2 linked regions of the Caenorhabditis elegans genome follow. The protein of the gene in region 2 interacts with the protein of the main gene of each other region in a pairwise test. Each region holds a gene or a part of one and is shown on either strand. Other genes may lie near its edges. The genes, in order: ztf-17 and nmad-1.

Region 1 (6,378 bases), on a different chromosome or scaffold from region 2:
TTGCAGATGCGTATACTTCACTTTTCCGATCATTGTCTGCTTGGAGCATCTGGACTTCTGCATTTGGTCTCTTCTCAGTTACTGCTTTCTTTTCAATTTATCTTCCATCTCTTCTGGCGTCACCCGATGTTTTTGTTGTTGAAGGACTTGGGATTCACAGTAGTTTCCCTTTTCAGCTTTTGGTACGGTTTACAATTTTTATGTTTCTTCAACATTCATAATTTTACAGCCGTTATCATGTATCATCTTTTCTTCTCTCAACGTCCTCTTCAAACCTTCAACAAAGATCGTCAGAATTTTAAATTTCACGGCATTTGCCATTGGCGCAATTTTGATGATCGCTATAGTTCTCGTCGCTTCACTACAAACCAAAGCCGGGTAAATTCCGTCTATTTTTCATTTCTATTTATACTTTAAAATAATTCCAGACTTTTTTCGCTTCTTCTTATTTCAATGCTACCATTTGGCTTGGCCATTGTCGCTGGATTTGTAAGAAGTTTAACCGTCGTTGGAAGAGTTTTTGCCGAGCAAATTGTGGCAATGTGTGCTGTTCCATTTGGACTGGCGTTCTCGATTCTTCCAATGGTTGTTACATATTCTGTGACTGAAAAGTAAGTATTTCAGTTTGTAAAGAGACGAAAAGTTGCTCAGTATTCACTTTTACATTTTTATTTTTTAGCAAACTGGCAGAATGGATGAAAGTCACAATGTTCTTATTTTTCGTTCTTTCTGCTGTCGCCATCGAGTTTGCAGTTTTTGGAAGAGGTAATTTGAACTTTTTTTAATGATTTTCACGATTTCCTATATTCCAGGTAAATCAGCGTCGTGGGCTGCTTCGTCTTGGGATCCGCTTGCAGCTTCTACAAAAATGCAATCTCTAGCTCTGATCGATTTTAATCAAGACGAGTGTGGACTTTACGAAATTCGAAGAGTTGAATCAAAAAAATAAAACAATTGTTTCTTTAAACACTCATAATTGGTCATGCTTTTAAAGCTTGTTAATTATTTGCTCAATAGTTTGCCAAATTTGACCAAAATTGTTTTTCAGGTCAACGAAACTGCATTATTTCAATAATAAAATCTTAATTTAATATTCATATCGCTCTCCCATTTTTATCAAATTTATTTTTTGTTCCTTCCCGTGTAGTATCACTTTCTGTACCATATTTTCCTGCTGTTTTGTTGTGCTTTTTCACATAAATTTTCTCGAACAAAAGTCCTCTGATTTTCACTGAATAAACATGTTTGTTAACAGGAGCGTGAGCGCCTGGCTTTGCGGAGTACTACGGTGGAATTTAAAGTGTGCATCACGTACACGCCGCGCCACACTTCACGACAATTCGTTTTTTTTCTTCGGCGGACTCGGCAACTGTTGCAGAGCTCGCCGGGCATCGACTCGTGGTGTGCCATTCGAGCCAACTGATTACTTTCATGCTGTTTTTAAGTTTTATAAAACAATCGCATAAATACAATTTTATTCCTAAAGAATATATTTATCTAGGCCAAAAAAAATATACTGCAGCGAGAAAGTTCAAAGAACATGTTTTGTTCGAACTTTGAATTATTCAGCAACACTTCATAGAAATAACACATTTTTTGTTCAAAAACAAATGTTTCTGTGAGAAACCGAAGATCATTAAACGTTTGTTGTTTTCAATTATTATCAAAAATTCGCGGAAAATGGTTCAAGCTTTAATTAATCTTATTTGAGTTTTCAGCATTTTTCTATTCGACGCAAACATAATCATTCAGAAAAAAATCTCAAAAAATTCCTCCTGTTCCCTATTGACTGTTTTCTCTTCTTTTTTCAATAAGCTCTTATCAAAATGTTTCATTTCTTTCGTTATTTCCAATGTTTCTGACACATTTTTCGTTCTCTGATCACTATTTTCTACAATTTCATTGCATTATATTCGAATGTTGAAACATTTTGATTGTTCAATCGTAGATTCAAACATTTACATATTTCAGGTAATTCACATGCTGCGCTACCAGGCGTCCGTGTACGGCGATTCGTACGGAAATGACTATCATTTACCAGTACAGGTATTTCAAATATGTTTGACATACAAATTTACAGTCATTAGAAAATTAGATGTTCTATGTCTTAAAAAAATGATTTTAATAAATGAGTTTATTAAATTTTTCAGGGACCATCAACAATCGCTTCGTCCAACGGACTCCGGTCGCAGCAAAGCAAAATAATCAAACGACCGCCGACAAATTACAAAGTGAATATTAACAAAAATCTGGATATTAGTAAAACATTGTCTTCCAGAGTATACCAGCATGTCGGTTGGCACCCCGTCGTCGTCTGTTCGTTGCCGATGGCAATGGCGTTCAGAAATCGATGACAAGTAGTTCAGGAGTGACGTTTCCACCACCAGATTATATGAAAAAGATGAAAGAGAATTACGAGAGTGGAAAAATAGTGAGCAGAATCGGCACACGTGTCTGATATTCTGTTTAAAAACTTTACAGATTTACATTCGTCGTAACAATCCTGGAATGAAAGGTAATCAAATGACTGGAAGACTGACTACAATAAATTCTTCTATACGAGCCCCATCGTAAGTAGAAAACGGCGACGATATAAATTTGAACATCACAATTCAATTTTCAGATACCATGCAACTTCAATGTCAGCAGGAAGTGTGACTCTTGATACAAGTGGCAGCGCTCCAAAATATGTGTATCGTCTGCCAAAAGCAGAATACGGCAATAAGTTCGATGAGTTAGTTTATTGCAATTAACATTTTTTTAAAACTCCAAAATTTTATAGAAATCGTCCCGCATCGAACATGTATGTCCCAGCACAAGAGCCACCGAAACAACATTTTACAACTGTTCCGGCATGTATGTCAATGGGTGGAGAAGTAGTTTTTGAAGAAGAATTAGACGATGAAATTGCCGATCTAGGAGCTGACGAATTGACTGGAGATGGTTTCAACGCTGATAAATCACCAAAATCAGAGTCACCTGATCCTTATTTAAAATCGTCCGGACCGTTGGTTCAACCATGCATGACATCAAAATCGCCCAGCTATAACTTGCTTCAGAGAAATCGGTTGCAAACGTCAAGATTTGCGTAAGTTAAGGTTATCTGATATAAATTATAAAGTGAATTTTCAGGTGTCCCCAACAAGACTGCTTCTGGCGTGGTACTAATGAAATGTCAATGAAAAAACACATGTTAGTTCATGGTCCAAAGCAGCCAGTTATATACGACAAAACTGGTGAGGCAATGAAAGTTCAGCTGGTTCAGCCAAAACCCAAAGGAGTGAGTTCGGTTTTTTTTATTTCTAAAATACCAAAAAGTACTTCTGAAATTCAGAGAAAAATTAAGAAAGTCTGAATTTGAATGAAAGTTTTGGAGGATATTCAAATTCCACGTTTTTAAGAAAATTCATTTTTATTCTTTCTCTGTACATTTTTTCAATATTTCTGAATTTCAGACCATTTAGGAAGTTTTGAATCAAAATCATCATTCTAGCTACTCACTCTTTAAATAAATTTTTCAGGTGAAATGTAGTGAATGTGACACATTCGCATATTCCCGCCCTCTCCTACTTCGTCATATGTATGACTCGCACGGAATTGAAGCTCCTCTTGTTAAACGAACATTTGCCAATCGTGAAATGCTCCAATCGTGGCTCGATTCTCTTCGTGAGACTCATGCAGTCGAGTTTGTCGTCTCATCAGGATCCAAAAAGTGGGGACGAGGACTTCAAGTTCACTATCTGACATGTTCTAGAAGTGGTGATCAGAAGGAGAGACCTAACAAGAAATACGTGAGACCACCCAGACCGTCAATAAAGTGTGGTAGAAATTGTATGGCTTATTTGAAAATCAAGCAGAATCCGACGGTCTCCGAACTACAAATTGAAGGATGCCTTCATCACAGTGGACATGAAATTGATCACACAAGAATGGTTCTAGAATCGAATGAGGTTTCATTTTTTCAGAAATTCATCTCATTGTAAAGTTGAAATTTTAGCTGGCTTCAATTGGAGCCATCGTCGACGCAGTTAATGAAGGTGTCGATGTTTTAGGAAATGTTGAAACTATTCGCAGTAAGTACTGTTCAGTTAATTTTCCCGTTATCTTTGAGTTTATAGGCTATCTTGGATCTTCTGGACGATTCCGTCTCGTCACTGAAAACGGACTAATTGAACAAATGCCAATTTGGTTCGAACAATATCATCGAGATATGGCTGCTTTTAATGGAACTGGCTATCGTAACAATTCAGGACCAATTCCAATCACTAACCCATATTGTAAGTACAATTAGTTTTCTCTTGTTAATTTCAAAATAAGTTTAGTGTCAATGACAATGAAACCTTCTATAAATGGAAACCGCAGACTTCCATATTCCGGTATGACTATAAAGGTATTTCTTTTATTGTAATATATTCTTAATTTTTAATATTTCACGTTTTTCCAGAAGGAGCTAGAATCAATTACGATGAAGAAGGCTGTGCCGATTCGTTTCAATGGAGGACAACTTCAAAATCTCGAAATGAATTCGAGTATTGAGGAGTATGACGAAAGTGTTAGTTTTTGAAAAAAAAAACATTATAAACCGTGATCGGAAAATCCCGTTGCAAATTATTGCAATTTTTACCAGAAAATACAGTATCCCCTTGATTTTTTTAAATGAAAGCTGCGCAAAAAGGTGTGCGCCTTTAAGATGTACAGTAGCCCAATCTTTGGTTCTTTCGTAATTTTTTTTAAAGAATTTCCATCGACTTTGCTCCTAAACCCTGAAATTCAAAAAATTGCATGAAAAACCGGAAATCTCAGCTACAGTACTCTCTAAAATTTTGCTTCGAAAATTTTCTTGACAGGGTCCTGTAGTTTTTCGTCAAAATTCGCATTTTTTGCAACTGATTAATAGAAAATGTATTTATTTGACTTTTTTCAATCGAATCTGCTTTTAGAAAGTCAAAATTGAAATGGACGATGAAGATGCTCTCGCGACTCAAAGTATTTTGAAAGATGACTTTGAAGAATTCAAAACCGAAGATTTATTTGGACTCGGTGGAGGAGACGATGAAATTTTGTGTGGCGGAGAAGAAGCTTCAGGAGTTACTTCTAATATTGATGGGATTCTCGCTGCAAATCTTCCAGATAACTTTAATGATCCGCTGTGCGGTATGGACTTGGCCACTGATTTCAGTGGACCATTTGATGATGACGTATTCGATGAGCTACTTGGACTCACTAATTTCAACGATCGTCACAATAATCTCAATATTTCTTAGAGTAAAATAGAATATACATAGCTAGATTTCTTCCTCTTTCAGTCTAGCTAGATTCCTTTTTTTTGTTTTAAAAGAGATTTAAACCTTTTTGGTCATTTTATCTTTTGTTCATGTTTTTCTTCTGTTGTGTAGTTTTAGATTTTAGTTCAGTGTGTTATTTCTAGTTGTAGTGTGTTTTTTCTTTCTATTTTACTCTTTTAGGTTGTGTTACCCTTTTAATTTTAAGAAAGCTTTGACTATGAATTAAATCTTTTATTGTAATCTTCAATTTTCAATCTTTTATAATAATCTTCAATTTTCAGTAGATCAATACATTTTGGTTATCTTCTTTTTTGAGAAATACCGTACCCACCTCTCTGCACTTTGTCATATAAGCTAGGAAGTTGGTTGTATTCTACGTTTCTTTTTACCTTTACATTGTTTCTTTATATTCATCTTCTTAATGCTCATTTCAATGTAAATATACTCGGTTATCAAAAGATTACCAGAGTCATCCATTCACCCTCTCTTCTGATTAAAGTGTAGACCCAAATTTAAAGAAATAATATATCAAACGTATTCCCTAGCTTCTGTTCTTTGTGTTTACGCCTATGAATAAAACATGAAATCCTTCTAACATGAAAAATATTATTATTATCACAAAAGTACATACTTTTAAAGAAATACAACCAGTTGGGACATAAAACTTGAATACATTAAAACAAAAAAACTTTGGTAGGAGAAAGGGGAACGAATATAAATCACCTAAAAGCAGAAAAATAAATAAGTTAGAAATCATTGGAATCGGGCGATGAAAACGAATTGAGGAGAGAGGGAGAAAAAACCAGTAGGCGAAGAGGCAAACTTTGCGAAAAAAGAGCATTTAGTTTTTCTTCTTTTCGGAATCCAGAACCTTGGCTCCTTTGACTGGCGTATCTTTATGATAAAGATAGACGATGGAGAACAACACGAGTCCCGCCATCATTGAGAACGAAGAGGCGTAGTATGGATATGCGGAGCGAATGAAACGTTCATACTGGGTGTGCCACAATGGACGAACCGACACCTGAATAATATGTGTAATGCAAATAAAGATTGTACATCGTTCTACTAACCTGTTGCACATCATAGAGAT
Region 2 (4,134 bases):
ACTTTCTGAAAATCTTTTGATAACTACCGTAACTCTTTAAAGGCGCAAGTCTCTTTTCATTATTTTAACTAAAATTCAAAGCTAAAAATCGGTTTTTTTATAAACGGATTAATTGACAGATTAAAATATTCCTAATGAACGCAAGAAAATAACAGCCACGTGGGTTCTGAAAAATTGCAAACCAAGCAATTTTTGATTCCAAGGTAAACAAATTGTCAGCGAACTCTCTCTCTTTCTTTCAATAACCTCGTGACGAGTCTTCCAAACTACAGGTAAATAATCGAGATGGCTATCTAAATTATACGGTTTTCTTTCTTCTTTGTTGGAATTTAATTTCAAATTTTTTAGGTTCAGGGTCACACGTGTGCCTACAGGAAAACTGTAATGTAGTCTATCTGACAGGTGTCCATCCCAATCAATCATTAAATGAATGCTCTCCGAGCCGTTCACTCCTTATCTTATCTCGATCACATGGCTCTCTGTGACGTCACATGTTGTTTTCCCAATTCGGTTTTCAGCCGATTCATTCCATAATTACTTTGCACCTGAACGAGAAACGAACAAAGAATAAAAATTAAAACTTCTTCAATTAAAAAGTTGGTTGAACAAGGAGAAGAATGACAAAACAGACAGAAAAAAGGAATTATCATCACACGGAAGTTTTCGAAAGTGGTACTCGAATGTTGCCCAGGCGAATTAGCTCGGCACCGTATTTCTCATACAATTCCCCTCCCTCAGCGAAATCTTTGGCCGCCTCTCGCATCGTCAACGCTATTCTTCGTCCACGGATGTGGTGAGCGAGAACTCCGTGCTTCCAATCATATCTACATTCATCGGCCATACAGAGAAGAGAACGATGAGGCATATGGACGTAGCATAAGAACGATTTATTATCGTTGGATAGAGTCATCACGGATCCATTGATTAGGTTGATGCTGAAAAATTGATTGGATTCTTCAAAGTTCTTTAAATTTTGGAAATTAAAAAAAAATGAAATGGGGACAAACAGTATTTAAATTTATTATTCTCGAGGCAAGGCATTTTTTTGAACACAGTTTTTGAGAAAAATCAAATACTCTGAAGTTTTCAGATCTTAAAAAAAATTTTTTTTTTTGTAGATTACTGTCAATGGGAATTTCGTTTTAAAATATTCGCGTTTTTTTTGCAAAAATAAAAATTTTTTGTCGAATTTCTGCCGAAAATAATATTAATTAAACAGTACTTTTTTAAAAAGGAATTCATACCTTATCAATCGATTTCCCCAAATCCACATATCATCCTGATGCATCTCAATGGCACTTTTCTTCACTTCCTCATACTCCAAATTGCACATTTCGAATGGCTGATAATTTCCGAGTTTCTTCACGTCGTATTCACTCATCTTATTGAGCAACATGTCTGCGTACTCTGGCATTCCGACAAATGTGTCCGTTTTTACCTTTTTATGCTTGAAATTCACTTTCGGTCCGTAGTCCTGAACTTTTAAAATTATGTTTTTTTTATTAAATGATTTTCTTACTTGCTTTCTTCGACCACTTTGTGACTGTGCCCATTCAACTGTGTCTATCATATTGAGAATTTTAGATTCTTCAGATTCTGACAGAAAATTGTGAATGAGAGTGAGCCCGTCAATTTCGATGGAGCCGTCTGTAGATACGGATTGGCACGAGGTGGATTCTAGAAATTTCATTTTTAGTTGAAAACTCATTATATGTAATAAAAACCATCAATGATATCCTCCAATGAAGACTGAGAGTTCAGATTTGTCGTTGGAATTGCGATTTGACGAATGTGATCGTAAATGAAGACCTGAAATTTGGAATTTTGTATTCGGTTCAATTGTTTTTTTTTAAAGATTATTTAAAATGAAATATGCATACTTTGTAGTTAACATGCTTATCCTCCACCACGCGAAGCTTTTTCACACGTTCCGTTGTCTCACAAAGTGCACAAAATCGAGCTCCCTTGCAGCCACACGCTTGTTCTGCGGAACCCATGTCGAGAAGTGTTGTTTTCTGGAATTTCGTAATATTTCTAAACATTTTCAGAGTGAAAGGATAATAAAAATGAATTGAACATTTATTTTTTAAAATTACCACATGAAAAATGATACAACTTCTTTAATTTTCCAACAAAAAATCTTAAAAATATAAAAAAAAATTGTCTACTGAAAAAATCTCTGCCTGCCAAACTGTGCGCGGGGCACTTGCGCAAAAAGCGCGCGCACATTGCGTTTCACTCATTAAGCACCGCCCATTTAGTTTTTTCTTTCGGCGGAAAACCCTAATTTGATCAATTTTAATTATTTTTACAAGTTATTCATCGATTCTTTAACGGAATTTGCGTGAAAATGAAAGTTAAATTATTGATTGATTAGTCTATTCCTCAAATTTCCCTATTTTCTTGTTTTGTGCTCAAAGTGCAAGCTTCTTTTTGTGATCAGTGATGTTTTCCCTTTATAACCTCGCGGAACAAGACCACTTTTCTCGTTTTCGTAAACTATTCTTCATTTTATTAAGCCAATTTTCAGAGACATGGCTGCCACTGTCCGAAACTTGCCCGCACTCTTCCGCGGACTTCATTCGAAGGTTTCATTTTTCACAAATTTTGACTAACATTTTATTTTTCTATCAAATTTTCTGTTCTAAACTCAGAAATTTCCAGGAAGTCTGCCAGAAGATGTCGTTCTCCGTGAGCGCCGCCGCCAAGTCGGAAATCCTTGTCGACACACACGGATCGAAGAAGGTGGTTACATTGAATAGGCCTAAAGCGCTAAACGCGTTGAACCTCGAAATGGTACGAGAGTTTTATCCCAAACTTCAAGCCTGGAATTCATCTTCCGATGTGGATCTTGTCATTTTGAAAGGATCCGGTGATAAGGCGTTCTGTGCTGGAGGAGATGTTCTTGCCGTTGTGCGATCTTTCAAAGATTCGGAGAGTGGAAAAGAGTGCACAATGCACAAGGATTTCTTCCGCGAGGAGTACATTTTAAATCATTTAATTGGAACTTTGAATAAGCAATACGTTTGTCTGATTGATGGAATTGTGATGGGAGGAGTAAGTTATCTGCAACTATTTTCTTTTCAATTTTTTAAAAAACTTGTTTCAGGGTTGTGGTCTTTCTGTAAATGGACGTTTCCGAGTTGCCACTGAGAAAACAATGCTAGCAATGCCAGAAACCGCACTTGGACTCTTCCCAGACGTCGGTGGATCCTATTTCCTTTCAAGGCTCAAGGGAAACCTCGGAATGTACTTGGCACTCACTGGATATCGTCTTCTAGGTGCTGACGCTTTCCATGCTGGTCTTGCCACTCATTTTGTGGAGTCTTCGGAACTTGCGAAATTGGAAAAGGAACTTGTGAATATTAAGGATGTGACAGAGAACTCTGTCGATGAAGTCATCAGATCGTTCGAGCCAAAGAAGATTCCAGAATTCAGTCTGTCCAAGAATTTGGCTCAAATTAGAGATTCCTTCAAAGCAAAGTAAGATATTTTGTCACCAAGATCACGTGTATTTGAGTTGGAACAAATTAAAAAGTAGCATTTCATCGAATTGATTTATTATTGTTTCTCAGATAATATTAGTTTTAAGCAAAAACTAGGAAAGGGCCAGTTTTGAGGATTCGATAGCACACAAAAAATTACATTTGCCTAAGATATATAAAATAATTGATTTTTCAGAAGCGTCGAAGAAATCCTCGCAAGCCTCGAAAAAGACGGATCCGACTGGGCAAAGAAGCAAGCAGCCACTCTAGGAAAAATGAGCCCAACTTCCCTGAAAGTAACTCACCGACAAATCACCGAAGGAAGCAAGATGAGCTATGCAAAGATCTTCACAATGGAGTATCGTCTCACTCAACGATTCCTCGCCGATAAGGATTTCCATGAAGGGTGCCGAGCCAGTGAGCAGAGATTTTGTAGGGTTTCATTGAAAATTTGACTCATTTTTCAGTTCTCGTTGACAAGGATCGCAAGCCAAAGTGGAATCCAGCGACGTTGGCTGATGTGAAGGATTCTGTCGTCGATAACTATTTCTCGCCATTGCCAAATAATTCTGATTTAAAATTGTAGAGGCCAGAATTAGCGGAAAATTGAATTTTTAATGGAAAGCTAAAAAATCAGGGAAACCCATAA

What was found.
Region 1: the proteins of nmad-1 (region 2) and ztf-17 interact in a two-hybrid assay, tested with the Caenorhabditis elegans proteins (one large-scale study listed by BioGRID).

Annotation. Positions count from the first base shown.
Region 1 is NC_003280.10:7,865,756-7,872,133, reverse strand, and holds ztf-17 (Zinc finger transcription factor family protein 17), read left to right. Parts: upstream 1-1,971; 5' UTR 1,972-1,980; coding exon 1,981-2,046; intron 2,047-2,150; coding exon 2,151-2,231; intron 2,232-2,278; coding exon 2,279-2,431; intron 2,432-2,481; coding exon 2,482-2,570; intron 2,571-2,623; coding exon 2,624-2,734; intron 2,735-2,782; coding exon 2,783-3,088; intron 3,089-3,132; coding exon 3,133-3,280; intron 3,281-3,521; coding exon 3,522-3,950; intron 3,951-3,997; coding exon 3,998-4,073; intron 4,074-4,118; coding exon 4,119-4,277; intron 4,278-4,322; coding exon 4,323-4,390; intron 4,391-4,444; coding exon 4,445-4,552; intron 4,553-4,940; coding exon 4,941-5,264; 3' UTR 5,265-5,878; downstream 5,879-6,378. Other genes in the region: T01H3.3 (MFS domain-containing protein), read left to right, coding at 1-182, 230-378, 429-611, 680-765, 813-949; ostb-1 (Dolichyl-diphosphooligosaccharide--protein glycosyltransferase 48 kDa subunit), read right to left, coding at 6,127-6,309, 6,359-6,378.
Region 2 is NC_003281.10:5,552,920-5,557,053, forward strand, and holds nmad-1 (DNA N6-methyl adenine demethylase), read right to left. Parts: upstream 2,016-4,134; 5' UTR 1,998-2,015; coding exon 1,881-1,997; intron 1,810-1,880; coding exon 1,725-1,809; intron 1,678-1,724; coding exon 1,520-1,677; intron 1,475-1,519; coding exon 1,245-1,474; coding exon of another isoform or gene 1,208-1,244; intron 936-1,207; coding exon 650-935; 3' UTR 570-649; downstream 1-569. Other genes in the region: hach-1 (3-hydroxyisobutyryl-CoA hydrolase, mitochondrial), read left to right, coding at 2,535-2,588, 2,665-3,057, 3,110-3,483, 3,682-3,902, 3,953-4,071. UniProt on the Caenorhabditis elegans protein: Dioxygenase that specifically demethylates DNA methylated on the 6th position of adenine (N(6)-methyladenosine) DNA. N(6)-methyladenosine (m6A) DNA is involved in epigenetic transgenerational inheritance.